2 linked regions of the Struthio camelus genome follow. The protein of the gene in region 1 purifies or fractionates together with the protein of each later gene. This does not show direct contact. Links are inferred from orthologs where the notes say so. Each region holds a gene or a part of one and is shown in the gene's direction. Other genes may lie near its edges. The genes, in order: PA2G4 and NCL.

What was found.
Region 2: the proteins of PA2G4 (region 1) and NCL purify together in Homo sapiens (affinity purification with mass spectrometry; 3 studies listed by BioGRID and IntAct, with this or other methods). This does not show direct contact. The link is inferred for Struthio camelus from reciprocal best matches to the Homo sapiens genes PA2G4 and NCL.

The regions. Positions count from the first base shown.
Region 1 is NC_090969.1:601,202-616,481, reverse strand, and holds the start of PA2G4 (proliferation-associated protein 2G4), read left to right. Parts: upstream 1-9,211; 5' UTR 9,212-9,396; coding exon 9,397-9,484; intron 9,485-12,356; coding exon 12,357-12,485; intron 12,486-13,128; coding exon 13,129-13,234; intron 13,235-13,441; coding exon 13,442-13,511; intron 13,512-14,720; coding exon 14,721-14,813; intron 14,814-15,280. Other genes in the region: ERBB3 (receptor tyrosine-protein kinase erbB-3), read left to right, coding at 470-560, 639-793, 933-986, 2,188-2,329, 2,559-2,678, 2,765-2,863, 2,943-3,128, 3,207-3,362 and 7 more. UniProt on the Homo sapiens protein: May play a role in a ERBB3-regulated signal transduction pathway. Seems be involved in growth regulation. Acts a corepressor of the androgen receptor (AR) and is regulated by the ERBB3 ligand neuregulin-1/heregulin (HRG).
Region 2 is NC_090950.1:21,720,539-21,736,335, reverse strand, and holds the start of NCL (nucleolin), read left to right. Parts: upstream 1-8,956; 5' UTR 8,957-9,092; intron 9,093-9,683; exon of another isoform or gene 9,684-9,800; 5' UTR 9,801-9,950; coding exon 9,951-9,968; intron 9,969-10,607; coding exon 10,608-10,715; intron 10,716-11,592; coding exon 11,593-11,878; intron 11,879-12,214; coding exon 12,215-12,361; intron 12,362-12,761; coding exon 12,762-12,944; intron 12,945-13,185; coding exon 13,186-13,269; intron 13,270-13,413; exon of another isoform or gene 13,414-13,482; intron 13,483-13,557; coding exon 13,558-13,693; intron 13,694-14,010; coding exon 14,011-14,147; intron 14,148-14,653; coding exon 14,654-14,780; intron 14,781-14,990; coding exon 14,991-15,124; intron 15,125-15,487; coding exon 15,488-15,623; intron 15,624-15,721; coding exon 15,722-15,797. UniProt on the Homo sapiens protein: Nucleolin is the major nucleolar protein of growing eukaryotic cells. It is found associated with intranucleolar chromatin and pre-ribosomal particles. It induces chromatin decondensation by binding to histone H1.

The DNA.
Region 1 (15,280 bases):
CTGTGGGGATAGGATGGACCCCGGGGTGGATACAGGGATGGGGTGGTCCCCAGGGTGGGATGGAGGCCAGGGGAGACCCCAGGGCGGGATGGACCTCAGGGCAGGCACTGTGGAGGGATGGACCCCAGGGTGGGTACGGGGATGGGATGGTCCCCAGGGTGGGATGGAGGCCAGGGTGGGTATGGGGATGGGATGGTCCCCAGGGCGGGATGGACCTCAGGGCAGGCACTGTGGAGGGATGGACCCCAGGGTGGGTACGGGGATGGGATGGTCCCCAGGGTGGGATGGAGGCCAGGGTGGGTATGGGGATGGGATGGTCCCCAGGGCGGGATGGACCTCAGGGCAGGATGGAGCCCGGGGTGAACAGCAGGGTGGCATCCCGGGATGGACCCCAGGGCGGGCGCCGGGCGGGATGGAGCGATGGAGCCGGGACACCGGGCGGCTGCTGACCCTCGCCCTGTCCCCGCAGGGAGACGCGGGAGTTCGTGCAGGGGAACGAGTGCTTCGAGTGCCACCCCGAGTGCGAGCGCATGGAGGGCAGCGTCACCTGCAACGGCTCGGTACGGCCCCGGCCGGGGAGCCGCGGCGGCGGCGGCGGGACGTCCCCGCGGCTCCTCACGCGCCCTCCCGTCCCGCAGGGCGCCGACACCTGCACCCGCTGCGCCCACTACCGGGACGGGCCGCACTGCGTGGAGAGCTGCCCCGAGGGCATCCTGGGCGAGCGCGGCCCCATCTACAAGTACCCCGACGCCAGCCGCGAGTGCCGGCCCTGCCACGAGAACTGCACCCGCGGGTGCGCCGGGGGCTGGGTGGGAGCAGGGGTGCGGGGACCCCCCCCCCCCCCCCAGCGGGGCTGGGACCCAGGCGTCCGGCTGGCTGGGGGGGGGGGGGTCTGGCTGCACCGCCGCTCACCCCCGGCTCCCTCTCCGCAGGTGCCTGGGGCCGCGGCTGCAGGACTGCCTGGGGGAGCCCCTGCCCAGCTCCAGGTACCGCGGGGCTGCGGGGCTGCCTTGCCTGGCCCAGTCGGTGCCGGGGCGCCCGGCTCGCGCCGGGGAGCCGCTGCTCTATGCCGTGTGCTGCTCCATGCTGTGCTGTGCTGCTCCGTGCCGTGCTGTGCTACGTTGCACTGCTCCGAGCCGTGCTGTGCTGCTCCGAGCCGTGCCGTGCTATGTTGCACTGCTCCATGCCGTGCCGTGCTGCTCGGAGCTGTGCTGTGCTACGTTGCACTGCTCCATGCCTTGCTGCCCCATGCTGTGCCATGCTATGTTGCACTGCTCTGTGCTGTGCCATGCTGCTCCGAGCCGTGCTGTGCTACATTACACTGCTCCGTGCCTTGCTGCTCCGAGCCATGCTGTGCTACGTTGCACTGCTCCGAGCCATGCTGCTCCGAGCCGTGCTGTGCTACATTGCACTGCTCCGAGCCGTGCTGTGCTACGTTGCACTGCTCCGAGCCATGCTGTGCTACGTTGCACTACTCCATGCTGTGCTGCTCCGAGCCGTGCTGTGCTGCTCCGAGCCGTGCTGTGCTATGTTGCACTGCTCCGTGCCGTGCTGCTCTGAGCCGTGCCGTGTTACGTTGCACTGCTCCAAGCCATGTTGCTCTGAGCTGTGCCGTGTTACGTTGCACTGCTCCGTGCCGTGCTGCTCTGAGCCATGCTGTGCTATGTTGCACTGCTCTGTGCCATGCTGCTCCGAGCCGTGCCATGCTACATTGCACTGCTCCGTGCCGTGCTGCTCTGAGCCGTGCCGTGTTACGTTGCACTGCTCCAAGCCATGTTGCTCTGAGCTGTGCCGTGCTATGTTGCACTGCTCCGTGCCGTGCTGCTCTGAGCCATGCTGTGCTACGTTGCACTGCTCCATGCCGTGCTGCTCCGAGCCGTGCCATGCTACATTGCACTGCTCCGTGCCGTGCTGCTCTGAGCCGTGCCGTGCTACGTTGCACTGCTCCGAGCCGTGCCGCTCTGAGCCGTGCCGTGCCGCTGGGCTCAGGGGGGCCCTTCCCGCCCACGCGGGCCCCGGGGCACCAGCCCAGCCCTGCCCGCGCCGCACCCCAGCGCCGTCACCGCGGCCGGATCCGGCGGCCGCCCCCGCGGCAGGGGGGGCCGTGGGAAGCGCGTGGGGCGCGGCGGCGGGCGCGCTGCTGGGACCTGCCCACGCCCCGGCTCAGCCCGCGCCCTCCGTGCCCAGGAAAACCCCCACGGTCATCGCCGTGATGGTGGTCGGCGGGCTCTTCCTCTCCTGCTCCTGCTTCCTCCTCACCCTGCTCTACTGGCGGGGCAAGAAGATCCAGAAGAAGCGGGCGATGCGGCGCTACCTGGAGAGGGGCGAGGTGAGGGGGCCGCGGCCGTCTGTCCCTCTGCACCCCCCGGCCATCTCCATCTCCATCTCCATCTCCATCTCCATCTCCATCTCCATCTCCATCAGTCTCCATCCCTGTCCTCTCTCCCCCTCTCCCTCCCCATCCATCTCCATCCCTAGCTCCATCCTTGTCCGTCCCCATCCCCATCCTCATCTCTCTCCCTCCCTGTCACTGTCCATCTCTGTCTCCTGCCGGGCAGAGCCTGGAGCCGCTGGACCCCAGTGAAAAAGCCAACAAGGTGCTGGCCCGCATCTTCAAGGAGACGGAGCTGAAGCGGCTGAAGGTGCTGGGCTCTGGCGTCTTCGGGACCGTGCACAAGGTGAGCCGGGGGCTCGGGGCCGCGGGGGCTCCCCCAGGGATGGGGACGGGCCCTGGCGCTCACCGGGTTCGCCCCCGTCCCGCCAGGGCATCTGGATCCCCGACGGCGACTCCCTCAAGATCCCCGTGAGCATCAAGGTGATCCAGGACTGGAGCGGGCAGCAGTCCTTCCACGCCGTCACCGACGTAAGTGCGGCTGCCCGGGGCGCCGGGGCCGGCCGGCCGCCCTCCCCGGGGCCGGCGGCTGCTGACGGTGCCCCCGCAGCACATGCTGGCCATCGGCAGCCTGGACCATGCCTACATCGTGCGGCTGCTGGGCATCTGCCCCGGCGCCCAGCTGCAGCTGGTGACGCAGCTGCTGCCGCTGGGCTCCCTGCTCGACTACGTCCGCAAGAACCGCGACGGCATCAGCCCCCAGCTGCTGCTCAACTGGTGCGTGCAGGTGGCCAAGGTGAGTCCCCGGGGGGGGGGGAGGTTGGCAGGTGGGGGGCACCCGAGCCCCCGCCGGCCCGCTGACCCCCCGCCCCAGGGCATGTACTACCTGGAGGAGCACCGCATGGTGCACCGCAACCTGGCCGCCCGCAACGTGCTGCTCAAGTCGCCCAGCCAGGCCCAGGTGGCCGATTTCGGCATCGCCGACCTGCTCTACCCCGACGACAAGAAGTATTTCTATAACGAGGTCAAGGTGGGCGCCCGCCGGCAGGCCCCGGGGTGCCATGTCCCCCCCCCACCCTGGGTCCCCGACACCCCCTGTGTCCCGGGGTGCCATGTCCCCTACCTGCTGGGTGTCCCCGACGCCCCCCCGTGCCGCGGGGCGTCCCCTGCCCGCTCCAGGTCCCCGACGCCCCCCCCGCGCCGCGGGGCGTCCCCTGCCCGCTCCGGGTCCCCGACGCCCCCCCCGCGCCGCGGGGCGTCCCCTGCCTGCTCCGGGTCCCCGACACCCCCTGGCCCAGCACCCCCAGCCCAGGTCCTGTCCCTGCCCCCGGCCCCCTGCGCCCCTCGACGCGGCTCCTGCTTTGCAGACGCCCATCAAGTGGATGGCCCTGGAGAGCATCCACTTCGGCAAGTACACGCACCAGAGCGACGTCTGGAGCTACGGTGAGCACGGCCGCGGGCGCCCCGGCCCCACGGCGCTCGCGCGGGGGCTCACGGGCGCCTGTCCCCGCAGGGGTGACGCTCTGGGAGATGATGACCTTCGGGGCAGAGCCCTACGCCGGGATCCGGCTCGCCGAGGTGCCCGACCTGCTGGAGAAGGGCGAGCGGCTCTCGCAGCCCCAGATCTGCACCATCGACGTCTACATGGTCATGGTGAAGTGTGAGTGCGGGGACAGGGCTCCGTCCTGGGGACACGGCTCCGTCCTGGGGACACGGCACCCTCCCTGGGGACACGGCTCCATCCTGGGGACACAGCTCCATCCCAGGGGACATGGCTCCATCCCGGGAGCATGGCTCCGTCCCCGGGAGCCTGGCTCCATCCTGAGGACGTGGCTCCATCCCGGGGGGGACACGGCTCCATCCCAGGGACATAGCCCCATCCCGGGAGCCTGGACCCATCCCAGGGGCACGGCATGGCTTGGTCCCCAGGGCACGGCACGACTCCATCCCAGGGGCACAGCACGGCTCCGTCCCGGGGTCCCGGCTGGGTCCCTGGGGTCCTGGCTCGGTGTCCAGGGTCCCAGCTTGGTGCTGAGTCCCAGCTCAGCCCCCGAGGGCGCATCCCGGCTCGCTCGGTCCGCGGGGTGCCGGCGCCGGGGCTGAGCGGCCGCGCTGCCCGCAGGCTGGATGATCGACGAGAACATCCGTCCCACCTTCAAGGAGCTGGCGAACGAGTTCACCCGCATGGCCCGCGACCCGCCGCGCTACCTGGTGATCAAGGTGAGCGCGGGCCCCCCCAAACCCCCCCCCCGGCCCCGGGGCCGCAGCCCCTAACGCGGCCTCCCGCGGCAGGAGAGCGGGGCCGCGCCGCCCGCCGAGCCCCCCACCCTCAGCGACAAGGAGCTGGACGAGGTGGAGACGCTGGAGCTGGAGGAGGAGGAGCTGGACGCCTCCTTCGGCCTCGCCGCCGGGCTCTACCCCTCGCGGCCGCGGGGCAGCTCTGCCCGGGTGAGACCCCGCGCTGCTCCCTGCCGGGGGTCTGGCCACCCCGGGACTGGATCCCGGGCAGGGGGTGCTGGGTATGGGGCAGGGTGCAGGGCATGGGGCAGGGGGTCCCAGGCACGGTGTGGGGCAGGGTTTGGGGCACAGGGTCCCAGGCATGGTGTGGGGCAGGGGGTCCCGGGCATGGCACAGGGTTTGGGGCAGGGGGTCCCAGGCACGGTGTGGGGCAGGGTTTGGGGCAGGGTTTGGGGCAGGGGGGTCCTGGGCACAGCACAGGGCATGGCATGGGGCAGGGGGTCCTGGGCACGGTGTGGGGCAGGGGGTCCTGGGCACGGTGTGGGGCAGGGGGTCCCGGGCACAGTGTGGGGCAGGGTTTGGGGCAGGGGGGTCCTGGGCACAGCACAGGGCATGGCATGGGGCAGGGGGTCCTGGGCACGGTGTGGGGCAGGGGGTCCTGGGCACAGCACAGGGCATGGCATGGGGCAGGGGGTCCTGGGCACGGTGTGGGGCAGGGTATGGGGCAGGGGGTCCCGGGCACAGCACGGGGCAGGGTTTGGGGGTCCCAGGCCCCAGGCACGTCCGTCCCCCCCCGGCCGGCCTCGTCACCCACCGCCTCTCCCCGCAGAGCCCCAGCCTGCTGAGCCCCCCGGCCGGCTACATCCCCATGAACCAGCCCGGCCTCGGCGGTGGCCGCCAGGTACCGCGGGGCGGCGGGGGGCGCGGGGGGCGGCGGGGGGGGCGGGTCGGCCGAGCCCCCCGTCAGCCCCGTGTCCCCCAGGGCGGCGGGGGCCGGCCGCCGCGGCGCAGCCGGCAGGAGTCGCTGGGGCGGACGGTGTCGGAGTCGTCGGAGGGCCGGGGCACGGCGTCGGAGCTGGACCTGGCCGAGGGGCTGTCGCTCTCGGGGAGCCTCTGCCGCAGCCTGCGCTCGCGGGGCGACAGCGCCTACCTGTCGCAGCGCGAGAGCTTCCCCCCGCCACCCCCCAGCACCGAGGGCAGCGAGGAGGACGCCAACGGCTACGTGGCCCCCAACTGCGCCGCCCGGGGTGAGGGGGCCGGCGCCGAGGGCTGGGGGTCCTGCGCATGCAGGGTCCATCGTTGCGGGGCGGGGGTCCGTCACTGCAGGACAGGGGTCCTGTGCATGCAGGGTGGGGGTCCATCATTGCAGGGTGGGGGTCCTGTGCATGCAGGGTGGGGGTCCGTCATTGCGGGACAGGGGTCCTGTGTATGCAGGTTGGGAGGTCCATCATTGCAGGATGGAGGTCCTGTGCATTCAGGGTCCATCGTTGCGGGGCGGGGGTCCCATGCATGCGGGGTGGGGGTCCGTCATTGCAGGATAGGGGTCCTGTGCATGCAGGGCGGGGGTCCATCATTGCAGGGTGGGGGTCCCATGCATGCGGGGTGGGGGTCCGTCATTGCAGGATAGGGGTCCTGTGCATGCAGGGCGGGGGTCCATCATTGCAGGGTGGGGGTCCCATGCATGCAGGGTGGGGGTCCGTCACTGGAGGATAGGGGTCCTGTGCATGCAGGGCGGGGGGGTCCATCAATGCAGGGTGGGGGTCCTGCACATGCAGGGTCCATCGTTGCAGGGTGGGGAGTCCGTCATTGCAGGATGGGGGGTCCTGTGGATGCAGGGTGGGGGGTCCCATGCATGCAGGGTGGGGAGGGTCTGTCATTACATGGTGGGGGTCCTGTGCATGCAGAATCCATCATTGCGGGGGGATCATTGCTGGGGGGAAATCCATCGTTGCAGGGTGGGGGGTCCGTCATTGGTGGATGGGGTCCTGTGCATGCAGGGTGGGGGGTCCCGTGCATGCAAGGGTGGGGGTCTGCCATTGCAGGGTGGGGAGTCCTGTGCATGCAGGGTTGGGGGGAGGGGTCCATCAGTGCAGGGTGGGGAGTCCTGTGCATACAGGGTGGGGGGTCCATCATTGAACGGCAGGGGGACATTGCTGGGGGGGCTCCGTCATTGCAGGGTGGGGGTCCCGTGCATGCAGGATGGGGGTCTGTCATGGCAGGGTGGGGGTCCATCAGTGCAGGGGGGGTGTCTGTGCATGCAGGGTGGGGGGAGTCTATCAGTGCAGGGTCGGAGGGGGTCTGTGCATGCAGGGTGTGGGGGGGGTCCGTTCTTGCAGGACTGGTGCTGGGGGGCTCCCATCCCCATGGGGCTGGGGGGGGGTCGGGTCCGTCCCAGCAGAGCAGGGGGACAACCCGGGGCGGGGGGGGGCCATTTTGGGGCAGGCTCCAGGGCGGGACGACCCAGCCGGCGTCTCACTCGACGCCCCGCAGAGCCGGAGCCCGCCGGGGGCTCGGCGCCGGAGGAGGAGGAGGAGGAGTACGAGTACATGAACCGGCGCCCCGGGGCCCCCCCCGGCGCCCGGCCGGCTTCCCTGGAGGAGCTGGGCTACGAGTACATGGAGGTGGGCTCGGAGCCGGGCGCCCCGGCGGCCCCCGCGCCCGGCCGCCGGGAGGAAGAGGAGGAGGAGGAAGAGGAGGAGGAGGAAGACTACGAGTACATGAACAAGCAGCCGCGGCTGAGCCGCTCGCTGGGCAGCGTGGCCGGCCCCCGGCACGACGGCTACACCGACATGCGGCCCGGCGAGGCGGCCGAGGAGCAGGGCTACGAGGAGATGGAGGCGGTGCTGGCGCCCCGGCTGGCCCGCTGCCCCGGCCCCCCCGGCCCCCCGACCCCCTTCATGAAGCCCCTGCGGAGCCTGGAGGCCTCGGACTGCGCTTTCGACAACCCCGACTACTGGCACAGCCGCCTCTTCGCCAAGGCGGACGCCCAGCGGACGTAGGGGGTCGTCCCCCCCCCCCAAAAAAAAACCCACCCCGCTCGCCCCCCACCCCAGCCCGTGCGCGCCCGGCACGGGGCACGAGCCCGATGGCCAAGGGGGGGCCCGAAGCGCGGTGGACGGACCCCCCCCCCCCCGTTCCCCGGGGCGGCCCCGCTCCATGCCTCAGTTTCCCCAGGCGGCTCCCGGCGGAGCCCGGCCGCGGGAAAGCCCCGTTTTCCTGGGGTTTGGCGGCAAAGCCGATGCTGTTGCGGGAAGCGCGAAGCCGGGGCGGGGTGGGGGCTGCCTTTTGGGCAGAATCGGCAGGATTTCTGGGCCAGAAGGAAGCCAAAGTCGTTTTCAGGTGTCCCCGTTCCCTGCCGGAGCCGGGATGAAGGTTTGGGGGGGATGTCGGCACCCCCCCACGCAGCGGTGGCAGGCTGGCCGCGCAGGTTTGGGATGCTCCTCGTTAATGAGGGGCCGCCGGCGCGGGTAACGACCCTCCGGAGGCCGCGGGTAGGTGGGGCGGCAGCCCCGCAATCGGGGCCAAAAACATAAAACCCCTGCGATTGTCTCCCCTTCTTTAGCGAAGGCTTTGGAGGGGGACGGGGACGGAGGACGGCGGAGGGGCGCCGTGGGGCCCGCCTGCCCCCCGCCCCGGCTCGGTGCCGCCGCCGCGTGCCCCTGCCCGTCCGTGGGGCCGAGGGTCCCGTCTGTCTGTTAAAAGCTAAATAAAGACAAAGGGAAGTCGAGGAACGGCCGGCGCCTGTGTGGGGCAGGGGCCGTGGGGCAGGGACCAGGGCTGTGGGGCGGGGGGTGGGGATGGGGGCAGGGGGAGGCAATGGGGCTGGGGCTGTGGGGCAGGGGGCTGCGATGGGGCTGGGGGCAGTGACAGGGGCTGGGGCTGTGGGGCAGGGGGAGGTAATGGGGCTGGGGCCATGGGGCAGGGGGACGCAATGGGGCTGGGGGTAGTGACAGGGGCTGGTGCTGTGGGGCAGGGGGCTGCAATGGGGCTGGGGGCAGTGACAGGGGCTGGGGCTGTGGGGCAGGGGGAGGTAGTGGGGCTGGGGCCATGGGGCAGGGGGACACAATGGGGCTGGGGGCAGTGACAGGGGCTGGGGCTGTGGGGCAGGGGGAGATAGTGGGGCTGGGGCCATGGGGCAGGGGGACACAATGGGGCTGGGGGCAGTGACAGGGGCTGGGGCTGTGGGGCAGGGGGAGGTAATGGGGCTGGGGCCATGGGGCAGGGGGACGCAATGGGGCTGGGGCAGTGATAGGGGCTGGTGCTGTGGGGCAGGGGGCTGCCGTGGGGCTGGGGCTGGCAGCAGTGCCTGGGGCCGGCGGTGTGGGGCAGAGGGCCCAGTGCCATGGGGCTGGGGGCAGCGGCCGTGCCGGGGGGGGGGGGGGGGGCTTCCGCTACTCCCCCCCACAACCCCCCCCACACCGCAGGGGGGCGCCCTGCCCTCCCACCCGCCACCCCCCAGACTACACTTCCCAGAATGCCCTCCGCGCCACTTCCGGCCGCGCCGCCCCGCCTCCTCCCCACTCGCTCTCGCGAGAGAGCCGCGGGGCCCGCCGGGAGCTGTAGTCGGCGCGGGCGCGGGCGCGGGGCCCGCCGGGAGCTGTAGTCGCGGGCGGCGGCGGCGGCGGCGCGGGAGGGGGGCGGGGACTCGGCTTCCCAGCGTGCCCCGCGCGGAGCCCGCGCTCCTGCCCTGCTCGCGCTCTCTCGCTCGCGCTCCCCGGGGTCTCCTCAGCGCGGCGGCGGCGGCGGCGGCGGCGGCCGGGAGGGAGGAGGAGGAGGAGGAGGAGGGGGGCGGCGGCGGCGGCGGCCGGGCCTAGGCGGCTCCGACCATGTCGGGCGAGGAGGAGGCGGCCGAGCTCACCATCGCCGAGGACCTGGTGGTGACCAAGTACAAGATGGGGGGGGACATCGCCAACCGTGAGTGCGGGCCGCGGCCGGTGAGGCGGGCGGGCGGGGGGGGCGGGCCTGCCCGGTGGCGGCGGGAGGCGGGGGAGGATGCACCGGGGCCCGGGGTGGGCGGCGAGGCCTAACACCCCCCCCCCAACACACACCCACCCACAGCGGCGGGGGGGGGGCGGCCCAGGAAGGCCCCCCCCCCCCACTCCGGTGCCCACGCGGCGGCCGCTCCCGCACGTGGCCTCCCCGCCCCACGTGCGGCGGCGGCGACCGGGCCGGGCCCGGCGCCCCTCGGCCTCGCCCGCCCTCCCGCCGCCAGCCGGGCGCGTGGCCCGGCCATGTGGGGCCGGCGCCGCCGCTGCCCGCATCCTGCCCCCCCCCACACCCCCCACGTCGGGGCTGCCCCCTTTTTTAAAAAAAAAAATCCTTTCTTTTGTGCCAACGTCCCCGGGAAGCCGCACCGCCGCTTTCACCCCCCCATCTTTTTTATTATTATTATTATTTTTACCCAAAAGCCGGCGGCTTCAACGCCTTTCTTCCGCCGGCTCCTGGGCCTGCAGCCGCCTCAAGCCGGGCGCGGGGGCTCGGCGTGGGCTCGTCAGACGTGTTATGCGTGTTGCAAACTTCGGTCGCCTCGCGTTATTCCAACACCCCCCCCTCCCCTTTTTTAGTTTTTGTTTTAAGCGTTTGTTTTTGCTGTATCATTAAGGGTGGTTAGTTAACCCCCTCGAGAAAAGTGACAGCTGTTTTAAAGAGCTAACTGGACCGGTTTTATGAGGTCCCCGCCGCTCCAGGAGCAGCTTCAGTAGTGGTATACGCCGCACTAATTGTTGCTGACTCCAATGCTTCTTTTTAAGTCATCGCTCTTCATAGTAACTTGGGATGCAGCTCCAGAGAAAGACGTGGTTTTTGAAAGCTGCAGTAATGTTTTAGTTGGTACAAGGGTTGCTAGCTGGTGTTTTCCTGGCCCTATACCTTTTTGCTCTGGGGCGGGGGGGAAAGGTTCCCCCCCTTGGGGAAGGAAGGTCGGTTCTTTGGTTTTTCACTGGCTGTTTGGCAAACCGGATGTAACAGCAAGGTGCAGAGAGGTTATGCCACAGGTTTAGCTACACGGAGGGGACACCCCCGTTCCCGGAGAGGAAAAGTGGATTGATCGCAGCATTTCTCTCTTGGTAGTGTTGTGACTGTGTTTGGGAACATCAAATCCAGAACTGTGACAAAAAGGCTTTCCAGTTCAAAATGTCTTGGGTACTTGTCAGTGTGACGTGCCTTTAATGACATAAAGTGCTTTTAATTCCTAAATGAAGCCCTGTGGAAGGACAGAATACAATTAAGAGATGTTCCTTGGTCAGTGCTGTTACACTCTCTGCTTTTTGGTTTCATTCTAATGCTCTGATGAACACGGCTCTCCATTTATCTTTCTGCTGTGTTTGTTTTGACGTTTTCTATTTTCAACTCTGTGTCCTGCTATCCACTAAATGTCTTTTTTATCACAGTTTTATCTGTACTGTAAAATATTCCGAATTCATAACCATCTATGACGCATGGAAAGATGACTGCTTGAAGTCATTTGAAATTGAATTCAATCATGCAGGTGAAAGATTTTTGGTTTTTACTCTATGTCAAAGAAACTATGAAAAACCATCTGCTTGTAAATGTCTTAAGCACTTCAGAAGTATTTATTGCTGTAGTACCTAGAGCACACACTATCGGTAACAGAAACTCCCAGCAAATAGAGACACTTCCAAAACAGCCTCTTGTAAAAACAGTGCGCTCACAGAGCGAGGAGAAACTGCATGTGTACCTTTTATCCCTGGATCCCAAAACATTTTAGAGGATAAGCTTTAAGACTTGTATCCAGTTTGATAGAGGAAGAAGAGAGGGGAATAGCAGCTAGTCAGCCGGTGACAGAGGCAGTGCCTTGGCTCCTGGCCTGCTGACTGGTAGAAAGGCAGTCAAGACGTATGTGGCTTGCTCCAGCAGCTCCTGGGCCTTCGTGGCTGCTACTCCTAGAATACCATCGCAATGTGTTTATGAATGTGAGCCTGCAGGATTTCAACGCGAGCCGTGGCTTTTACATTCCTTTACCCATTTATACTATAAGGCACGCTGTCTGCTATGGTGTAATCAAAATGCTGATGAGACTCCTAGGCACAAAGCTAGAATACGTCCAAAAGTAGATGCAAGCAACATTCAGGAAACAGGCAGCAAAGCTTTCTTTAACCTCCAGTGCGGAGCAAGGCACGTAAAGCTCCTGATGGCAGAAAGCATGCTGTAAGCTGCTTGTGTTGCCTGGCCTTCGTGACTGAGAGGAGGAGCGTGGGTTACCTTTAAAACGTGCTCCTGCAAAGAGGCTAATGTAACTGGCTTTGCTGTGCTAGTTCTGTGCTGGTGCCAGCTCTTGAGCCAAGCAAAGTCTTTCTGTTGATCTGTACGTTATAGTCCTACACGTCCACAACAGTGCCCCCTGCTCTTTTGATGTGCTGTGTATTTTGTCTCCCAAGTAATTTTCAAACCTGTTTCTGAAGCTCTGACTTCTCTGGAAAGAATGTGGGAGAGTGATGTTTCTGCTTGGCCTCTTTGTTTAAGAGACCTGCGAGCGTATAGATGGGTGTCTGAAACTGCTGCACTTCACCTGTGCAAATCCCAATGTATGTTTGCTTGCTCATGTTTTCTGTGAAAGTGTTCCCGGAAAGTCAGTTCTTAAAACGAAAAATTACAATGGGATTTCTCTTATGTCCTTGGTGAAAAGCTGAGCTAACAGTCTTGTCCCTTTTTAGAAAACAGATGGATATATTTCTTTTTTCACCGTGGGGCTGTGTGATGAGGGTTGCTGTTAGTTTTAAGGCTGTTTATGGTGAACGTACTTCAACAGCTTTTTGTTTGAATTAAGGGGTCCTGCGTGCAGTGGTTGAAGCAGCAAACTCTGGAGCATCAGTTCTCTGCTTGTGTGAAAAGGGAGATGCCATGATCATGGAAGAGACTGGCAAAATTTTCAAGAAGGAAAAAGAAATGAAAAAAGGTGAGGCCTGTTCCAAAGAAACTTTTTCAATATGAGGATATTTTTTGTCCTGTTGTGTTGTTTGGTGGCTGGCATGAATGAGTAGCAGCATGGAAAGCACAGTTCTGCTCTAATTAGCGTAAGAAATACTTCACCATTCCTAGAAAACCAGTTTTGATCCAAATCGTCCTGCTTGCCCTGTTCATAAGCATCACTGATAAGCTTGAGCTTCCCATTTTGATTTACCCAATCATTCACATTGAAATGAGACTTACTTTGGACAACGTCCTCTCTTCAGGAAGACCTGCTATATGGTTATAGTTGGTCTGTAGTTGCCATGGAAATTGTGTGACACTTGAGTGTGTCACTGAAAGCGCCGTGATTTGTGTTCTGGAGAATTGAGGTCCCTTTTGCAAGTGTCTTACTGCCTTGGATGTATTTGTTTTGATGGTTGTCTGGACAAAAAGAAGGCCAGTGTAGGAGCTTGCCGCAAGCTAGATTCCTTATGGCTTTTTGGCTAGAGCCTTAGGTAATGGATGGAGTGTTTTACGATGCTTAAACGACTAAAACCTAAGTGACAAACCACAGTGGCAGGGCTGCTGTCTGTGCCTGTGCAGCGTGTGAGATTGCTAGACTTATGGAATATTTCTTTTTCCCTTTATAGGTATTGCCTTCCCAACGAGTATATCGGTAAATAACTGTGTCTGTCACTTCTCCCCCTTGAAGAGTGACCAAGATTACATCCTCAAAGACGGAGACTTGGTCAAAATGTAAGCATCTTAGTTATATTTCTCATGAATTTACTGTCAGCATCTGGGCTTCGCTCGTTAATACTACTTGGTGTGTTAAATCCTTCCTTGGCTTGGCTAATTAGTAAAGCGTTTGAAACATGCCTGAGACTCTGCTAATACTTTTAGAAGTCGCACAAGTTTCCTGCGTTGTGAGGCCTCACCTGTAATTAACTCTTTGTGTTGCAGTGACTTGGGAGTCCACGTTGATGGTTTTATAGCGAACGTAGCACACAGTTTTGTCATAGATGCATCAAAGGTAGGTTTTTGAAGGAATGGTGTATGTCTTACAGCTGCTGCGTTCAGTGCAATCTGAGGGCGATATTAGAAAGCTGATGTTCCCAAAAAGCTAGTTCCCAAAGGCTGCAGTGTAGAGCGTCACAGAAGTTTCTGTTTAGTTTTGCAAAGGCTCCTGAGCTCTGGTGTCACAACAGTGTCGGGAAGAAAACGGTCTGGTTTTTTGAAAATTATTCAGTCATCTGGAAAACGCGAGATGACGCACTGTTTCAACATGTACAATTTTGCAAGGTTACAAATGGTTTGAGACAAACCAAGTGCAAGTTGAGCTGCAGTGAGTTATTTGCATTTAGTACCTGTTGTGCAAATGGAGGTGAGGCTTGGGCTCTGGGACGGACTGGGCAGACTGGTTTTGCTGCCCCCTCTGCTGGCCGAGGCACGCGGAGCCAAGCACGCTGCGCTGCTGCAGGGACTCACTGCCCTCAGCTTTGCAGCCCCGAGTTCAGGGATGACTTGTTCCTTGGCCCCAAAATCTAGTCTCTGCTGCCTGCTTTTTCTGTCTGAATATGCCAGGTACAGACTTGCAAGTGGCTTTATTCATCCAGGGCAGCATGCAGCCCCTGGCAGGCATCTGTGAGGACCCCACCATGGCATGGGTGGTTAGTGCTCCAGCCATTCAGTCAAGTCATTTTTTGGAAGTGACATTAAGCTGCGTTTATGAGACTGGCTGCAGGAATTACTGTTATAAGATGTGTGTAAAGTTGTCACGTAAGTTTAGAATAAAGTTTCAGTCTTGGGAGGATGATGGCAGCTGTGGTCTTGGGAACGTCTTTTCTCCTGTGGCTGCATAAGAATAACTTGATGGGGAGAAGATGAGAACAAAAATTGAAGTCTGTTGAAATCTCTCCAGTCCGTATTTCTGGCTACACAAGAGTCTAGTTCTATTTTCAGTCTTTGACAGTGATGGGCTTGTACAGGGATTTTTCTGTTGAAACTCATAAGGCAGAACTTATTTGGTTGTAGCTGGTACTCATCTGCTCTTTTAGCAGAGCCCAATGACAGAGCTGTGAAGCCCAAAGTCCTTCCACCTTTGATCTAGATTTCCCACTCAGTGGGAGAGTAATCAGGTAGATGGATTATCTCCATCTCTAGATGGAGTCAGAACAGTGTTCTTACTAATAGCTGGGAAAGGCATGCATCTTAAAGAGCCTTTATTTTCCTGTTCTTTCAGGAAAACCCTGTGTCAGGTCGTAAAGCTGATGTCATCAAGGCAGCTCATCTCTGTGCTGAAGCTGCTCTGCGCTTGGTAAAGCCTGGAAACCAGGTGAGTGGCTGATATTTGCGAATGTGTAGTTAGGTACAAGTCGCGAAGCTCCAATACAGACACTGAATTTGCCACGTGGTCACTTCATGTGTAGAAATAAAAGCCTATGACCTTGCCTGGGAAGAACTGTTAGCTATGTGGGGAATCTGGAAGCAGCTGCCTGCAGGCAGCTGAGCCACTTCTGGGGTGAGCGCCGGACCACTGGGGCAGGTGGCGGTGATTCTTCCTGTCAGCAGTTCTGGCTTGCCAGCAATATCTAAGCTCTTGCTTATGTAAAGTTGGCTTCACAGAGAGGCCTTGGTGCTTCCACTTGCTGGTTCCTTCCTCTCTGAAAACAGCTGGGCACGCACAGAAAATTTTAAATGTTGGGAGTCACAGCGTCTTTATGATATGATTCCAATCCCATTCAGGAAGGAGCAGGTGAGCCTTGCTAGCAAAGTTGTGGCTGACTTCTCAGCTTTAGATTC
Region 2 (15,797 bases), on another chromosome or scaffold:
AGGGAGACACTGGGGGGGACAGCAGAGGGCCGGGGCAGGAGCCAAACCCAGGCTGTCAGCATTAGAAACCAGTCAGGGATGTGTCAGGGCCGGGAAATGAGATGGAGTGATTCCCCCGAGCATCTCTGCTTTCTGAAGAAACACTGGACGCTTTGGTGCGGGCTCAAAGATGAGGCAGAAGACGACTTCCTTTGTCTCTTTCTAGTCTTTTTTTTAAGATGGGGGGTTTGTTTTGTTTTTCTCTCTAAGTGACAGCGTACCTAGGGAGCTTGTGAGCCTGCTCTCCTGGATAAGACAGAAAGTGGCAACTAGGTGTAAATTATATTAATGGACCTTTTATTGGACAGATGCAATATCATTGGACTATGGCATGGGACAGAGGAAGTAACGGAGGCAAACGCTGCCCAGTCACCAGAGAGAACAAATCAAATCAGGGTTTCACAGCGTGATAAGCCCTTATTTGCTCAGAGAAAATGGCAAGTGCTTTTGGTCTTTGCGCCAGAGGCTGGGAAGAGCCACTTGGTCGTCGGCCTCCCCTATGGGCAGGGGGCTGCTGGCCCGGATGCAGGTACTTGGATGGAAACTGCTTCTCAGAGGCTTTTGGGGCAGCTCTGCTCTGTCCTTGAAGCAGCTGCAGTTGATTTGAGGTAGGTTGAGTAACCTGACGCTGTCAAGAAGGCAACCTGCTGTGGGTGGAGGGGAAAGCTCTTGCTCACAGGGAGGTAGAAAAAAAGTCCGTGAAGAGGACCGTCTTGAGCTGCTCATCCCCTGTCCTCGCGCTGTTTCAAGACTTTCTTGAGCTGTGCAGGGAGATGGGGGTCCACAGCCCCTCAGTGCTGGTTGCAGGAGGGTCCCCCAAGGAAAATATTTGGGGTTCCCAAAATGTTATTGCTCCACTCTGGGACAAGACCAGGGCTTGGGAAGGTTGCTGTGACCAATGCCAGCTGGCACAGCCCGTGTTTGCCGGTCCCCGTGGGGGCTCTGTCCTGGGGCTGTTTTGGGCTTCACGTTCAGGCCAAATGCTTCTTCCTGAATCTGAGCACCGTCTCCTAGAAGATATTGGGTCAAACCTGGCAATTCCTCATTTTGAGGAGGTAATGCTCTCTGAGGACACCCTGTTTGGACCAAAGGCTCCCAGCCAGCTCTGGGTTCAGGGTGGAAAGAGGCTGTGAGCCCTTGTGCCTGTGCCAGGGACCTGGACTGCTGGGCTCCTCCTTCAGCTTCTGTGTTACCCTGAGGACTTCCCATCTATAGATTGGGCCTTATCCTGCCTGCCAGGGCAAGGATGTGAGATGGTCCTGCCACATGCTGGGCTTTGCAGTCCTTCATGGAGGACACTGTGGTTGCCACAGCAATGTTGACGCTTTGCTGGACAAGACACCTCGGGGGAAAGTAAGGTACCTGCTGGCACACTGGGGTTCAGCGCTTGGCAATCCAACACGTCATTTTCTAGTGAGTAAATAACCTTCTTTGTTTGGAGTGACATTCAGCCAGCCACGTTTTAATGCCATTAATCTGAGACATTGAGGCTCTGCTCTGCTCATCACTGTCTGCATAATAAAAATGCTAAAGCAGCCAGCAAATTATTGGAAATATGGAGCCCAGCAGCAGATAGGCAGGCCCTGGTCATGCTGTGCTGGTGCTTAGTTAAAAAAGGCTTGCTCCCCTCCGACTGGTTTGGCCTGCTTGCTGGCCTTTGCTAACAGCATCCCAGGTCGCGTGGGTGCCCGGAGCCCAGCTCTCCTGTTCCCCGACACCGCAGCCTGTCTGTCACAGCCAGGAGGGTTTCCTTGGGCCACCGGTGAACTGCCCTCTCTGTGCTCCTTGCAGCCAGGGCATGTCCTGGCCTCCTGCTACCCAGCAGGAGCTTCGACTCCTGTGGGGTCACCAAGGCGCCAATTCTGCTCCAAATGCTTCTCGCTGTGAGCTCTCATCCCACGTAACTGCACCGCTCCTTTGGAGTGCTTCGTGCCCCTTTCTTGCCATGTTATAAGTGATTATTAATGCATCAGTGTTGTGCTGCTGAACCATAATGTCTTTAAAGTCAATAGCATTAAGCATTTAATTACCCAGTGGGATGAATTAATGTGGTGCTTTGTTTGCTCTACAATTAAAAACGAGCAGGAGAGATACAGTGTAATTGTCAGTCTGCTTTAAACTTCCCATATCACTTGGTGCTCCGGGAGATGAGCTGATAGTTTGCGAGGGATGGGAAGGAAAGGGCTTTTCCCAAGGAAAGCATGATCCTCCCTCTCCCTGAGCATGCAGGAGACATGGTAATGCGCTTACCCGGCTTAATGGGATATTGCTGGGGCGTTTGGGACCAGGTTTCAGGTCTGACAACAATTTTGCTGCTGCCAGTGTTGCCTTGTTGTTGCTGGGTTTTTTTAGCTGCAGTAGAAGAAAGTTTGAAGGCAGTGCTTTTAACTCACACCCTGCCAGTGGGAATTTCCACGATGAGAGCTGATAAATGAAACTGCCTGAAATAGCTGGGACGAGGCACAAAAAACCCAAGAGCCAGCCCAAGGCCAGGGAAGTACTTTCGGCCCTTATTTCTAACCTCCTTTTGGCTCCCTGTGACGCAGCTTGCTGCAAAGGGGAGGTCGGGGCAGACGGCAGGTGGAAAGCTGGGTGGGCTGAGCCTGCCTGGTGCTGTACGGGTGACTCCTGAGCTCGGGTGTTCCCCAGGCTGTCAGACGGTCTGTGCAGGGTGAGCTCGCTTGAAGCCAGCCCGGGTCACTGGAGCTTTGAAAGCACAGCCAAGTGCAGACTGACCCTTCCCGAGAAGACGGGCCAGTGAAAGGCACTGGGCCAGGACCAGCGAGATCTGGTTGCAGACCAGTAGATCTGCGGTTTGATTTCTGTAAAATGGGTACAGTCACCTTTCTTTCCCATCGGGGCAGCTGTCAAATGCACATACGTGTGAGCTCTCTGAAGCAGAGACTGCCCGAACTGTGGGTGCTCAGAGCACCACAGGGTCCCAGCTGCTTCCACCTGGGGCCTTCCAATGCAAATGCTAAAGTCTTTAGCAAAGCACGTGTAAGCTGCCCGCAGCTGTGTGACACCCCCAAGCTGGGGGCTGCACGCAGAGCCTGCAGGGACCCAGCTCCCCTGCCCTCGGCCCTTGCACCATCGGCTACTCCCACGGGAGCAGAGGGGCTGCGACCCCCTTATCCCCGAGCTCTCGCTGCTCAGCTGCTGCTTTGATGTGACTGTTGCAGGTAAGGCTGTGGGGAAGCCCTGGCCGGCTGTGCCACTCTGCTCACCCTGTGGCATGTGTGTGTCAGGCTGCAGCTGCCCACGTGGACACGTGTCCGTGATGAGCGGTGAGCGCACGCGGCTCCCGAGCCAGGGCTGAGCTCACCCAAAACTGCCTTGCTTGGATGCAAATGCAAAAATGGGGGCAATGGAAGGAGACTCCTGCCTTTCTGGTTTGGGACTCAACAAAGATTCAATTTTCAGTCTGAAAAGGAAAAATGTTACTGTCACTTGAGCCTGAGTTGCTCTGACCCCGTTCCAAGCAGAGCATCTGCCTGCTGCTGGCCCCGTGCCCGGGAGCTGGTGTGAAAACGGAAATAGCCAAATACAAGTCTGTGAGCAGTGGGAGCTTCCAGCAGGTAAAACGTGAGTGATCGAAGGCAAAGCCACAGGTCACTGCACTGCAGGCCTTTGCCCAAGGGCAGATTTGCTGAGAGAGGAACAGTTCACAGATGTTTTACTCCAGAATGGGCCCCCTTCCCAGTCAAAATGAGCTCAACATCTTCAGTATCTAGCCTGGGGAGCAGCTTTGGGGTTTTGCAGCTAATGTTAGTATTTTGGAGCGGCTCTGTGCTCCCATGGGGTGGATGGTGTGTGTGGGATGGCGTGGTACACGCTCTCTGAGAAGCGTGGGCTTTTCCAGGCAAACCCTGCTCGGGCTTTGGAAAGCTGCACGTTTTGTGAAGTTCATCTTTTGCAGGGAGCTGTTGCAAGCAACAAGGGAGCTTGCCCGAATCTCAATGTGAGCAGATCTCGAGATACAGACCCACCTGGGACCCGTGGCTCATCTGGATGCGACCCTATTGCCCCTGTCTGGAGGGTTAATATGATGCCCAGAAACGTGCTGATCCCAGAGCAGCGCTGAATGGCTGCCTGTAACTCCTCCACAGGTTGGTTTTTTTTTTCTTTTTCTCCCCTTGGATTATAGAAGCATTTGCATGTCCAAACTCCTCCTTCGTTTCCAGCCTGTGGATTTTCTCCATGCTGTTGGAGAGAAGAAGAAGGTCCCGAGCTCCCCTCCCTCCTTCCTTCCTAATTGTCCCATAGCTTCTTAGCCCTGTTTCTCTTATTTAGCTCATGTCCCATGTAGCAGTCCTGCTTGTTTCAGACTCGCTTCTCTCCCTTGCATCATATTTTCCAGCGCTGGCATTCTGCCTCCTGTTTTGCGAAGCCGAGAAAGGGTCGCGCATGGCCCAAGGCTGCGGGCTGCCCCAGGTATTTGCGGGGGGCTACAGGCAGGCTGCAAGGCTGTGCTGTTAGCTGCAGGCAAGCGACGTCAGGGAGAGGAACGGGGCTAGCAAAGGGCTGTCCTGGGGGAATCGGCCTTTTGTGGAAAGAGAAAACTCTTTTCTCTGCAGGGTGCCAGGGATGATCATGTGAAGGGACCCTGGGGGGGGTCACAGGGAGACTAAGTGCAGCACACAGACTTCCTGAGTGAGTCACCAGGGATTTTTCCTTGGCACGAAGGTGATGCCAAGGGAATGGCACAGATCTGCAATCGGCCGGGGTGGGGAGAGAGGAGGTGTCTCGCTGGGGGGGGGGGGGGGGCGCACGCCAATCCCAATCCTGGCCCCCTCTGTCCCAGGTGGGTCCCCTCCCATCCTGGCAGTGGGTGCCTCAGGGCCCGGCTGTGTCCCTGCCCAGCCCTGGGCGCCCCTCCATCCCTCAGGGTGGGACGGGAGGGGATGCTGTTTCCTCCTTCTCTCCTGTTCAGCAACAGGATGAGCTGCCATTAGACTAAGGCCAGAAAAAGAGTGGGGAGAAGCCAGAATGGGAGGAGGAAGGGGTGAGAAACCATCGGGGAGGAGATCCAGCAAACCAGCTGGCATCCTGCTGATCCCAAAGCCATGGGCTAAGACGCAGGAGCTCAGCAGTTTCCCCTCCGCCTGCTCTCGTGCTGGGTTTTTGGGCTGAGGGAGCTCTCTGACAGCACAGAGCGGGCTGGAAATGAGGGCTGGTGTCCCTATCTAACAGGCACCGTTGCACAAAGTGCCAGCCGAGGGAGGCGTGTCACGGCCGCTCCAAGCAGAAGACAGTCTGGTGTGCAATCCCTCAAATTCAGCAAGCCCTGTGCGCTTCGCCCTCGCGGGCTCTCCCTGCAGCGCTGCGCAGCAGCCTGACCCATCCAGCCTCTTCGCGAGCCCCGCTTCGGCTTCAGCGTGCTGCTGGGGGGGTGATGAACAAAAGATGTAATTAGGGGAGACCTGACTCATTTGACACCCTGCATGAATCAGAAGTGGAGCTGTGGGACAGCAGCAGGTGGCCCTGTAGCTGGGGAAGGGGACTTTGCAGGGGGGAGGATGGGGTGCTGGAGAGGTTTTAAGTGGGGATTAGACCTCAGATGCATAAATTTACTTTTTTTTTTAGGATTCCTTCAGGATAAGGCAACCTTGCTCCCGACCCACGTTTCCGGCAGCGTGGGTGGAAGGCGGTGCGGGCAGGGGTCTTTGCCCGGGGTCCCTGGTGGCTGTTAGGCAGCAGATGCTCCCACAGGTAAAACTTTTCCTCTCCCGCCTGCGCTTGGCTGCTGCCTTTACGTGGTGTGTGTCGAACGCAGGGCTCGTATCAGGCCTTCCTCTGTGCCCCGAGATCCACCGGGAGAGACGCAGCTGAGGGGGTACGATTTCCCGCTCGGCTGCAGCCCTGGGGAAGGGCTTTGGGGAGCCCGAGGAGAGCAGGGCAGCCCCGTGGGCTCCCACCGGGGACGGCAGACACGGCCTTTTGTCACCATCTAGTGGAAATGCCCAGCTGCAGCCAGGCGCAGATTGAACGGGACATTCGGGGATGCTCCCCCAGCGGGGTCCCTACAGAGGTGTCCTGGCTGGGTGCCCGCCTTGCCCTGCACAGGGCATTAACCCTATGTGTGCCAGCGCCCATCTTTTCCCGGCACCAGCTATTTGCACATGCTGCAAGCCCAGCCCATCAGCAGACCCCGTCTTCAGCTGGTTTCTGTTCCCCTGGCCCAGCTGGGGGCTGCCAGATAGCTCAGGGCTGCAGGACCTGGCTCTTGGGGTGCCATGTCTGCCCCGCAGTGCCCGCTCTCTCACGGCTCTGAACCTCTGCTGCTGTGTGAGGTACTCCCACTGCTCCTGGGGACAAGTCCCTGCTGCACCATAAACCAGGTGGGAAAACCCCTCCTGTGGTCTCCCCCAAGTTTGTGTCTGTTAAACAAGTTGCCTTTAACAGTGGAACTAGATCAAAGCCCCCAAGGTGCAGAGATGCTACAGCAACAAGTACCTAAAAGCACCTAAAATACATTTGCTCCACAAATTGGGCTGTTAATCCTGCTGCTTTAGCCAAATTTCCTGCACTCATGCTGCTCTGCAGACATCCCTTGGCCTTGAAACTTGTAGCTGCGCCTGCAGAGGGGCAGGTGTATGCTGCGTTGCCGGGGAAGCCTTGCACTGCGGTGCGTCCTCAGCAAGAGCCTGGCCTAGGCACTGGCTGCCCAGGCAAACCAGCATCCTTTTGCCCAGTGCATCCGACCCGTGTGCTACATGTGGCATGTGGGGACAAACCACAGCCTTGCAGTCGGTGCCCTGGACACCTTCCCCCCCGCCCCAAGCTGTCCCCTGCAGGCACTGCAGCAGCAGGCAGGATCGGGCCTTACGCTGAGCCCTGACCTGCCTGTCCACAGCACACAGGTTAATGTCGCATTGCGTGCGGCCTCTGCTCTTCTTTTCCCTTTGGTGCACAGGTGCTGTGCTCCTTCCCCCAAATGCGGGGTCCTGCTGCAGCCTCCGTGCCACCTGCACTGGGGACGACCTGTCAGCACCAGGGCACGCGCTTGGAGTAAGAGATGGAGCGCGAGCAATACCAAGACTTCCCCTGCCAGGGCCAAGAACCGAGTGCTGGCCGGCCGCCAGTCCACCCCTTTCACCGCTTTTCCGGCGGGCCCGGAAGCGACGTGCCCAGCTTTGCCCACGTGGGACGCCAGCCAGGGCGGGCGGTTGCTGCGATAACCTGTGCAAACCTTGCGCAGACGTGCCACGGCTTTCAGCACTGGCGGCTGCAGGGCAGGTGGGTTCGGGAGACGGGCAGTGCTGCGATGGGCAGCAATCCTGCCCTGCCCCGTGGGCAAGACGCGGTTGGACTGGGCACGGGTCTGGGGGTACCGTGCTGCTGCTCCCTGCTGATGTAACCAGGGGCCTGGCTGGGTCTACGTGGGGCCTCGCTGGGTCTATGACGGATTGAGGACCAAACCAAAAAGTGACAGCGCAGAAGATGACGAAGGTCCTGTGGGGCCAGTGTTGAGTCTAACCCCCTCTGAACCAGTGCTTGCTGCCATGAGGAGGGGTGTCCCCAGGGGCCCTTTTCTAACACCGCTGCCATGGGTGCGTTCCCCTGGTCACCCTGCCAGCGCTGAGCGTTAACGCCACTGGTCCCGTGCAGAACGCACTCCTCCCACCCCAACCTGACCCATCTCCAAGCCAGCGATCGCCTGCTCTTTGCCAGGTGAACACCACTTTTGAAACAGCGTGGCATCAGTTCAGAGGTGGCATTCGCCGTCTTGTTTCCTGCACCGGCTTAGGATAAGCCATAAGATTGCAGATTGCTGAGCCCATCACTGGCACGTTATTGAACACACACAGTGCCCTGGCTACCAAAACCATCCACGGCTGCAGCAACGGCTGTCCTTTTCCCGTGAGAAACAAGCCCCTCTGCAGCGACACGGAGAGGAACCAGCCCTGGCTCTAGCAGCAGCACTGGAAGAGCAACGCTAAGGATCTTGTTACGCCGTGGCTGCACACGGTAAAGAGCAAGCAATCGGCTCTTGCTTTAGACAGTAAAAATTCCCAAGAGGCCTCTGCCTCCTAGGATGGTACCAAGTCGCCCAGTGTCCCGACGGGCAGCCCTGGGTTTGTGTTAGTGGCTCCTGCAGCACGTGCTGGAGTGAGCCAGAAGCTGCTGTGTTTCACGTGTAGAGCCCAGCTGCCCCTGCGCAAGGGTTTCCCCTGGGCAGGATGCCCAGCTCCCCGTTGGTGTGACCAGGGCTGGGAGGCAGGCAGCGTCCCCCGCTGTCCCAGCACCATCCCAACCTCTCTGAGGGCTGCCTTACTCATGCAGACAGGTCCTGTCACCTCTTTATAAGCTGGTGTCCTCAGCCCTGGCTCTACCCGCCTGGAAAACGCCTCTCTTCATCCAGCAGAGGAGGCAAATACAGTGGCCTCCCTCACAGCACGTCCCTTGTCTGCAAGTGGCACTGAGCACCCCAGGGGTGTCCCCTCAGGGCTGCATCCACCTAGAGAGTCTGGGCACTTTTCCCTGGGGCTCCCCAGGCTCTTTTGTTCCTCACATTAGGGGCTTCTCCCAGGCAGGTGCTGGGAAGGGCGAAAGCGCTGGCAGTCACGGTCAGGCGAGCCCAGGATCTTACCCAGTTTGACAGGGCAGTGGATATGAGGCAGCTGGGAAGCCAGAGCAACAAGAGGCCACTGAGCTACTCGGCTGAGGGAAGGCCGCGTCAGGCAGGGTGCGAAGCAGCACTGCCAGCACACTGGCAAAGAGTAAACAGGGGCGCAGCACGCTACCCTGGGAGCCTTTATACCGTGAACTTTATAACCACCGGGGTAAAATTCCACGCGAAGAGGGCTGATCTGTCTTCTCTCACCATTCATTACGCAACCATAATTCATTTTTTACAGCACGGGGTCCTTCCTCCGCGTAGTGAGCCAGTGGCACTTCTGTCACCAGGAGCGCTGTCAGCCGGCGGGCTTTCTGTAACAGAGGCAGCTGCGGGTCATCTGCTGCGTCAAGTGTAATCCCAGTATGTGCAAACCTCCAAGCTCTTGGGCTTTTTAAACTCAAGAGACTTTCAACTTCTGTAGCAGCTGAAGGTAAGAGTCTGGGTGTGCGCTGAGAACCAAGTAATTGGGGAAGGGACTACAGAAGGGAATGGAGGCGGTGGGGCAGAAGTGGAGAGGAAGGAAAAGGGGGGGGGGGAGGAACCGGAAAACAAATACAACTCCTATCCGTTTGCAAACTTTTACCTTCCAAAGAAAAAGCAAAAACCGTTTTCAGGCTGTTTTACCCCTGCAGCCGATCTTTAGCAGTGCCGGGCTGCCAAGAACAGCAGCAGCTGCCCCGGGACCCCCCTGCCCCGGGACCCCCCCCCCCGGCCGCCCCGGGCCCGGGCGCCCACCCCCGGCGCAGCCCCACCACGTGGCCGTCTGGCCGCCACGTGCTCTCCCCCGGCCCGGCCACGCCCACCCGCCACTAAGCCCCGCCGCCCAATGAGAGCGCAGGCGCCGAGTTGCCGCCCTCTCATTGGTTGCGTCGCTTCCTCGCGGGCGGGCTGAGTGCTCCCCTCGCTCCCCCCTCCCTCTGCACGCACACGCTCTCTTGTCGTCAGCTGTAACGCGCTCTCCCGTTGGCTGATCGAACAGCCCCAGCGATTGGCGGAAGGGCTCGAGGGGAGGAGGCGGGGATTGGTCGGGCGGGCCTAGGCGCGCGGCGATTGGCCGAGGCGGGGGTGGAGGAGGCGGGGCGAGGCGGAGGGCTAGGCAAGGGAACGGAAGGGGCCTGCGCTCGCTCTTTCGTTTCAGTCCCCGGTTCGGTCGCCAGTGTCTTGCGGCCGCTCCCGCCTTCCATCCGGGGCCCTCTTCGCTCCCCCTCCCGCCACCCCCGCCGGACACGGCCCTTTCCCCGGAGGCAGCTCGGTCGCCGCCCTTGCGCCGCCAGGCCCCGCCGCCATCATGGTGAAGATCGCCAAGGTGAGGCCGCCCGGCGGGGCCGCGCTAGGCCGCGCCGCGGGGCGGCAGTAGCGGCGGGCGCGGACGGCGCGGGGAGGGGGAAGAGGCGAGCTAGGCCGTCCTCCCGCCGCCTGCTCCCGCCGTGCGGGCCGCGGCGGTTTCCAGGCCGCCCCTCCTTCCCTGTTAACATGGCGGCGGGAGGAGGGGCGCGTTGGAAAGGAGCGGTTTCAAGCCCCCCCCCCGCCTTCTCCCTCCATGTTGCCGCGCGCGAGGGCCCGGGCGCGCGCCGCCGAGGGGAGGAGGGGGGCTCCGGGGCCCGCGCGCCGCCCGGATCGGGGAGGGGGGGCGGGGAGGGGGGAGAGCGTGGCTTGGCGCGCGCCGCTGCGTATGCGCGCGCAGGGCGAGGCGGGGGGGGGCGGTTTACGCCGCCGCGCGGCCACGTGGTGCGCTGGGGCGAGCGAGCACGTGGGAGCGCGGGGCGCCGGCGTCCGCCGCGCGGCGGGAGCACCCCGGCCCCGCGCGGCGGGGAGCCACGTGGTCGGGAGAGCTGCCCGCCCGTGCGGGCGCCGGCAGGTGGAGGGAATAGCTTGGACGATGCATCTGCTTCTAACCCTCGGCTGAGGGAGGAAGCTCCTCTTAATACCTCCCCCTCTCTTTCAGACTCCCAAGAATCAGATCAAACAGAAAAAAATGGCCCCTCCCCCCAAGAAGGTCGAGGAAAGCGAGGAAGAGGAGTCTTCTGAACTGGAGGAGAGCAGCGGAGAAGAGGTGATGATGAATCTAGAACACAACCGAATGGGTGCATGGGTCCCAAGTGTTGCAAGGTTGGGGGACGTATGAGGAACAGAACCGTTGTTAATCGGTAGTCATATACTACATACATATCTATTGACTGTAGCTGAAGAACGAACAGGATTTTATAAGAGGAAAGCGATAAGGGAAAAATAGTTTAACTGTTCAGTCTATGTCCTTCCAGATTTTGAAAGGAATGTGTGGGTCTTACAGCTGTTTCTAGTACTGATGAGCAAGTGAGTGATAAATAATCAGATCTGGAAGGACCTCAGCAGCTCTACTCCTGTTTCCCCTTTCACGTCACAACTAGCGAAATATGCTCGTTGTTCTAACAAGTCACTTCACCATCCACAAATAACATACAAGAGCGAAAATTTGAAGCTGTAGGGTGCTGCTAGAGAAATCGCAGGTGCTGCCTTAGTAGCAGGGTATTCGAGAGATGCTTGGCTGTTCCAGAAGTTGTCAAACGCACGACAAAGCTGCTTTTGAGCTTTACCAGGCTAATAGTAATTTAACAGCAACTAAATAAGTCTGTTAAAGGGATACTTGCTAGATTGCAGTTGTCGTGCATTTGTAAGGCTGCCATGTTGAAGTAGTAATGTCAAGGTATAGATGCAGAGATGGGCAGGAAAAAGTACAGGAGTCCAGAGAGAGCAGATACTCGATTTATTGGGTGTGCAGAGGTAGCCATTTGTTGGCTGTATCTCCTAAAGTGCCATCTTCCCATGAGTGTGGTTGCATAGTTCATATCAACTGTCAAGGCATAATGTCACTGCAGTGTCATGTTGTCAAGTTTGAAATTCCTTTAAAGGAGCTGCATAAGAGTCCTGCGCTCGCTTCATGTCTCTTTCAGATGGTCCCTCAGAAGAAACAACAGAAAGCAGCAGTTACACCAGCTAAGAAGGCTGCTACCCCTGCTAAGAAGGCTACCCCTGCAAAAAAGGCAGTTATACCAGCCAAGAAGGCTGTGGCTACTCCAGCTAAAAAGGCTGTTGTTCCATCACCTAAAAAGGCTGCTGTCCTAGGCAAAGGAGCGAAAAATGGAAAGAATGCCAAGAAGGAAGAGAGTGAGGAGGAGGAGGAAGATGATGATGAGGAGGAGGAAGATGATGAGGAGGAGGAGGATGAAGATGACTCTGGTAAGCTACTTTTGGAATATGTGTCCATCTTGTAAGCTGACTGAAGTTAGCTCATCCCAGTAAGTGGATTTGAGTACCTTAAAAGCTGACAGTTCAGCATGTTTTGGTACTCAAGAGTGTTTGGTAAGTGAAAGGAAGTAAGCAAGGAAAGATGAAGAGTTGGTGAGGTTTGCAGGAGAATTTCTTGGACTGTGCCTGCCTTGTGCAGGGTGTGAAGCATGTTCTAGTTTTCTGATTGTTCTTCTCTGAAGTTTGCCAAAACGCAGGGAAACAAAGTACTTGACTGAGTTTGAAGGTTGAGTGCTCTAGGTGAATGCTTGCTGTACTTCATTGCAGATGAGGAAGAGGAGGTAGCAGTGCCTGTGAAACCTGCAGCCAAAAAGCCTGCAGCTGTACCAGCCAAAAAACCTGCAGCTGTGCCAGCAAAACAAGAGTCTGAGGAAGAGGAGGATGAAGATGATGATGAGGAGGAGGAGGAGGATGGTATGTGGTCCACAAGGATTGAGAGAAGCTTGCTCTAACTCTTAGAAAATGCATTTTTTAGAAGAGGTGAAAACAGGCTTTCAGGGAGCTCTAGGCCGGTAACTTAATGGGTGGTTAATGGCAGCGATGAGTACGTGTCTGTCCATGTTTACTAGTGCCCGTCAGATATGTTTGAATGGGTATTCCATTTTCCTAAAACTATTTCCTAAAATGTTATTCTTAGTGCAGTAAGACTTGGAGGAGGGGCAGTTTGTTGTAAGCACTATAAAGGTATAAATGCTTTCTTGAGATCGTGTAGATTCAAGCAGACGTTCAGAACTCTCTTACTTCATGTGACGTTTTTGGTTCGATTTACAAAGTGGCTAATCTTGAACCAAGTTTTGTACTGAACTCATTTCAGAGTCTGAAGATGAGGCTATGGACACAACCCCTGTTCAAGTAAAGAAACCTACTCCAGTAAAGGCTACACCAGCTAAAGCTAAGGTAGAGTCTGAAGATGAGGAGGATGAAGATGATGATGAAGAGGAGGAGGATGAAGAGGAGGAGGATGAAGATGAGGATGAGGAGGAAAGTGAGGATGAAAGTGAGTTTAAATGGTTTGGTGAACATAGCCATGCATAATAGCAGGAAGGATCTCAACAAAATTTTTGTCTGGTCATGGTCTTTTGGAGTGGAAAGTAATGAGTAGTTGCGGTGATGGCACAAGAAGGTTTTGTGTATGAGCTGCTTGAAGATACTCATATGCTAATCCAGCATAGCAGAAGCTGTGTTTTGTTTTTTTGGCACTTCTAATTCAGTGTTCTTTTATTTGTTCTCCATCACAGAACCTGTCAAGGAAGCACCTGGAAAGAGGAAGAAAGAAATGGCCAATAAAAGCGCACCAGAAGCCAAGAAAAAGAAGACAGAAGGTACCTTGGTGTGGGGTCATCGAATGATGCTCATGGCATTTGGAAATGTTTAGGAGAGACTTGGGAATCTTCATTTAATATTGGGCTATTGGGTGAGATGAGACACAATAACTGAAAGGATTGCATGTTCAGTGTGTTCTTGCCAGCACAAATGATGATTCTAAGGGACTTAATACTGAAACGTGATGTCATTTTAAGCAGAAACTGATGTGCTAGAACTGTCCAGTCTGTTTCCAGTTCATCTATCTGCCCTAAAGAAAAACTCAATTTTTTTTTTTTTTTGGGAAGGGCCTGCTTCAGCTTTCTCTCTCTTCGTGAGAAATTTGACACCAACCAAGGAGTATGAAGAACTGAGGACTGCTATCAAGGAGTTTTTTGGCAAGAAGAATCTCCAAGTTACAGAAGTTAGAATTGGTTCTTCCAAGTAAGTTCTTCAAAATACTGGGATGCTTGCTTGATGCTATACGGAAGCTGGAAGAAGTGCAGGACATGTACAGTACTGATAGGGTATAATGCTTGCCAGCAGCTGCTTCAGACAGTATATCCCAGAAAAGGAAAGCTGCTACCGAAGTACAGAGCAGTCGTGTGCTGTACTATTGCTTTGGTTTTCTGGGGCAGTTGGCGTTTATTTTATTAACGCTTTAATTTGACCACTCCCTTCTGGTTCTGGGTTTCCTTATATATATAGTTTTCTGATGCTAGAGCAGATCAGGCTAGATAATAAAGTTATTCTTCTTTCAGGCGATTTGGCTATGTAGACTTTTCATCTGCCGAAGATCTGGATAAAGCTCTTCAACTGAACGGAAAGAAGCTGATGGGTTTGGAAATCAAACTGGAAAAAGCAAAGAGCAAGGAAAGCCTGAAAGAAAACAAAAAAGGTACAGCACATTGCTCTGAATACCTGGGGGCATTAAAGAAAGAAGCTGTAATAATCAGTAGGTGATAACACTTAGCTTAGAGTAGGCCCACGATATTACTGATGGCCATGATGTTAACCTTTTAAACCAGAGTCCCACTGGTTTGGGCTCTTACCATAAGCAGTTTCTCAGCAGTTTCTCTGTATTGTAACTTAGAGATAGGCAAGCTCTGACTGCAATGTCTGGCAACGTAATGACATTGTAAGAAATAGGCATACTAGGGGTGCGAGGAAGAAATGTGGCTCTGTCCTTGGCTTTACATTCTGACTTGATGCTCTTGAGAGAGAAGTGTAACGGCAGCTTAATTGCTTGTCATAATTGCCTTGTCTGCGTCTGAAATGCAAACTTATCCTGTGTTTTTTGTACTGGATGAATTCACTCTGGTTTTCTTAGTAAGCTGGCAATACGTGAGAAAGGATTTTTAGCTCAATGGTGACGTGAAAGTAACTGCTTATTTCTCTTTGTAGAGAGAGATGCTAGAACACTTTTTGTGAAGAATCTACCCTACCGTTTAACTGAAGATGAGATGAAAAATGTGTTTGAAAATGCAATAGAAGTCCGACTAGTATTTAGCAAGGAGGGGGCCAGCAAAGGGTATGTAGCTGAGAGGACTGACTGCTTGCCATTTCTCAAACACTTGATGTATTTTGATAAGCTCATGTGTCCTTTAGCTATCTCGGGAAACGTGCTGGATTAGGTGTACTGAAAAAGCCAGTTCAAAGCGCTTTTTCGCATCACCCTGTTCATAACTGTAGTCCTTCCGAAAATGACGTTATTTGCCTATGTTTTTTCCTTGTGCTCTAGGATGGCCTATGTCGAATTTAAAACAGAAGCTGAGGCAGACAAAGCTTTGGAAGAGAAGCAGGGCACAGAGATTGACGGTCGTGCCATGGTCATTGACTACACTGGTGAGAAGAGCCAACAAGAAAGTCAGAAAGGTACTCTTCCATATCCGTGATGTGCGTGCAGGTGACACTTAGGATTTAATTCCACTCAGTTTTAGACGTTTGATAGGGATAGAACAACTGGAAGCGTTGTAGGAAAACTGTAAGGTAGCAGTGAGGCACCTTTTAGCAGATTTGTGCTCTGAATCTCATGCATTTTGTGTCTGTGCTGCATGTGTTTCAATCAGAGGAAGACAACTACTCCAGGTGACTAAATCAGTACTGCGTTTAGTCTCCTATGCCCACAAGGAAGGTGGGGAGGGGCAACAATTATTTTCACCCTAGGGTGGGTCTTCTCTAGCGAGAGAACTGTCCTTTTCCAGACTTGCACTTCTCATGCTGAGTTTTCCTTTGTAGGAGGAGGAGAGAGGGAGGCAAAGACCCTAATTGTAAACAACCTCTCATACTCTGCCTCAGAAGAGACTCTTCAAGAACTGTTCAAAAAAGCTACAGCCATCAGGATGCCACAGAACAACCAGGGCAGGCCTAAAGGGTATGTTCTGCATCTGTACCAATTCTTTCAGATGGCATTGTGCATGACTTCCGGTGACTTCCTGTGCTCGCAGTCTAACTGAAATCTTCTCCAAATAGGTATGCGTTTGTAGAATTTCCCACACCTGAGGATGCCAAAGAGGCTTTGAATTCCTGTAACAATACAGAAATTGAA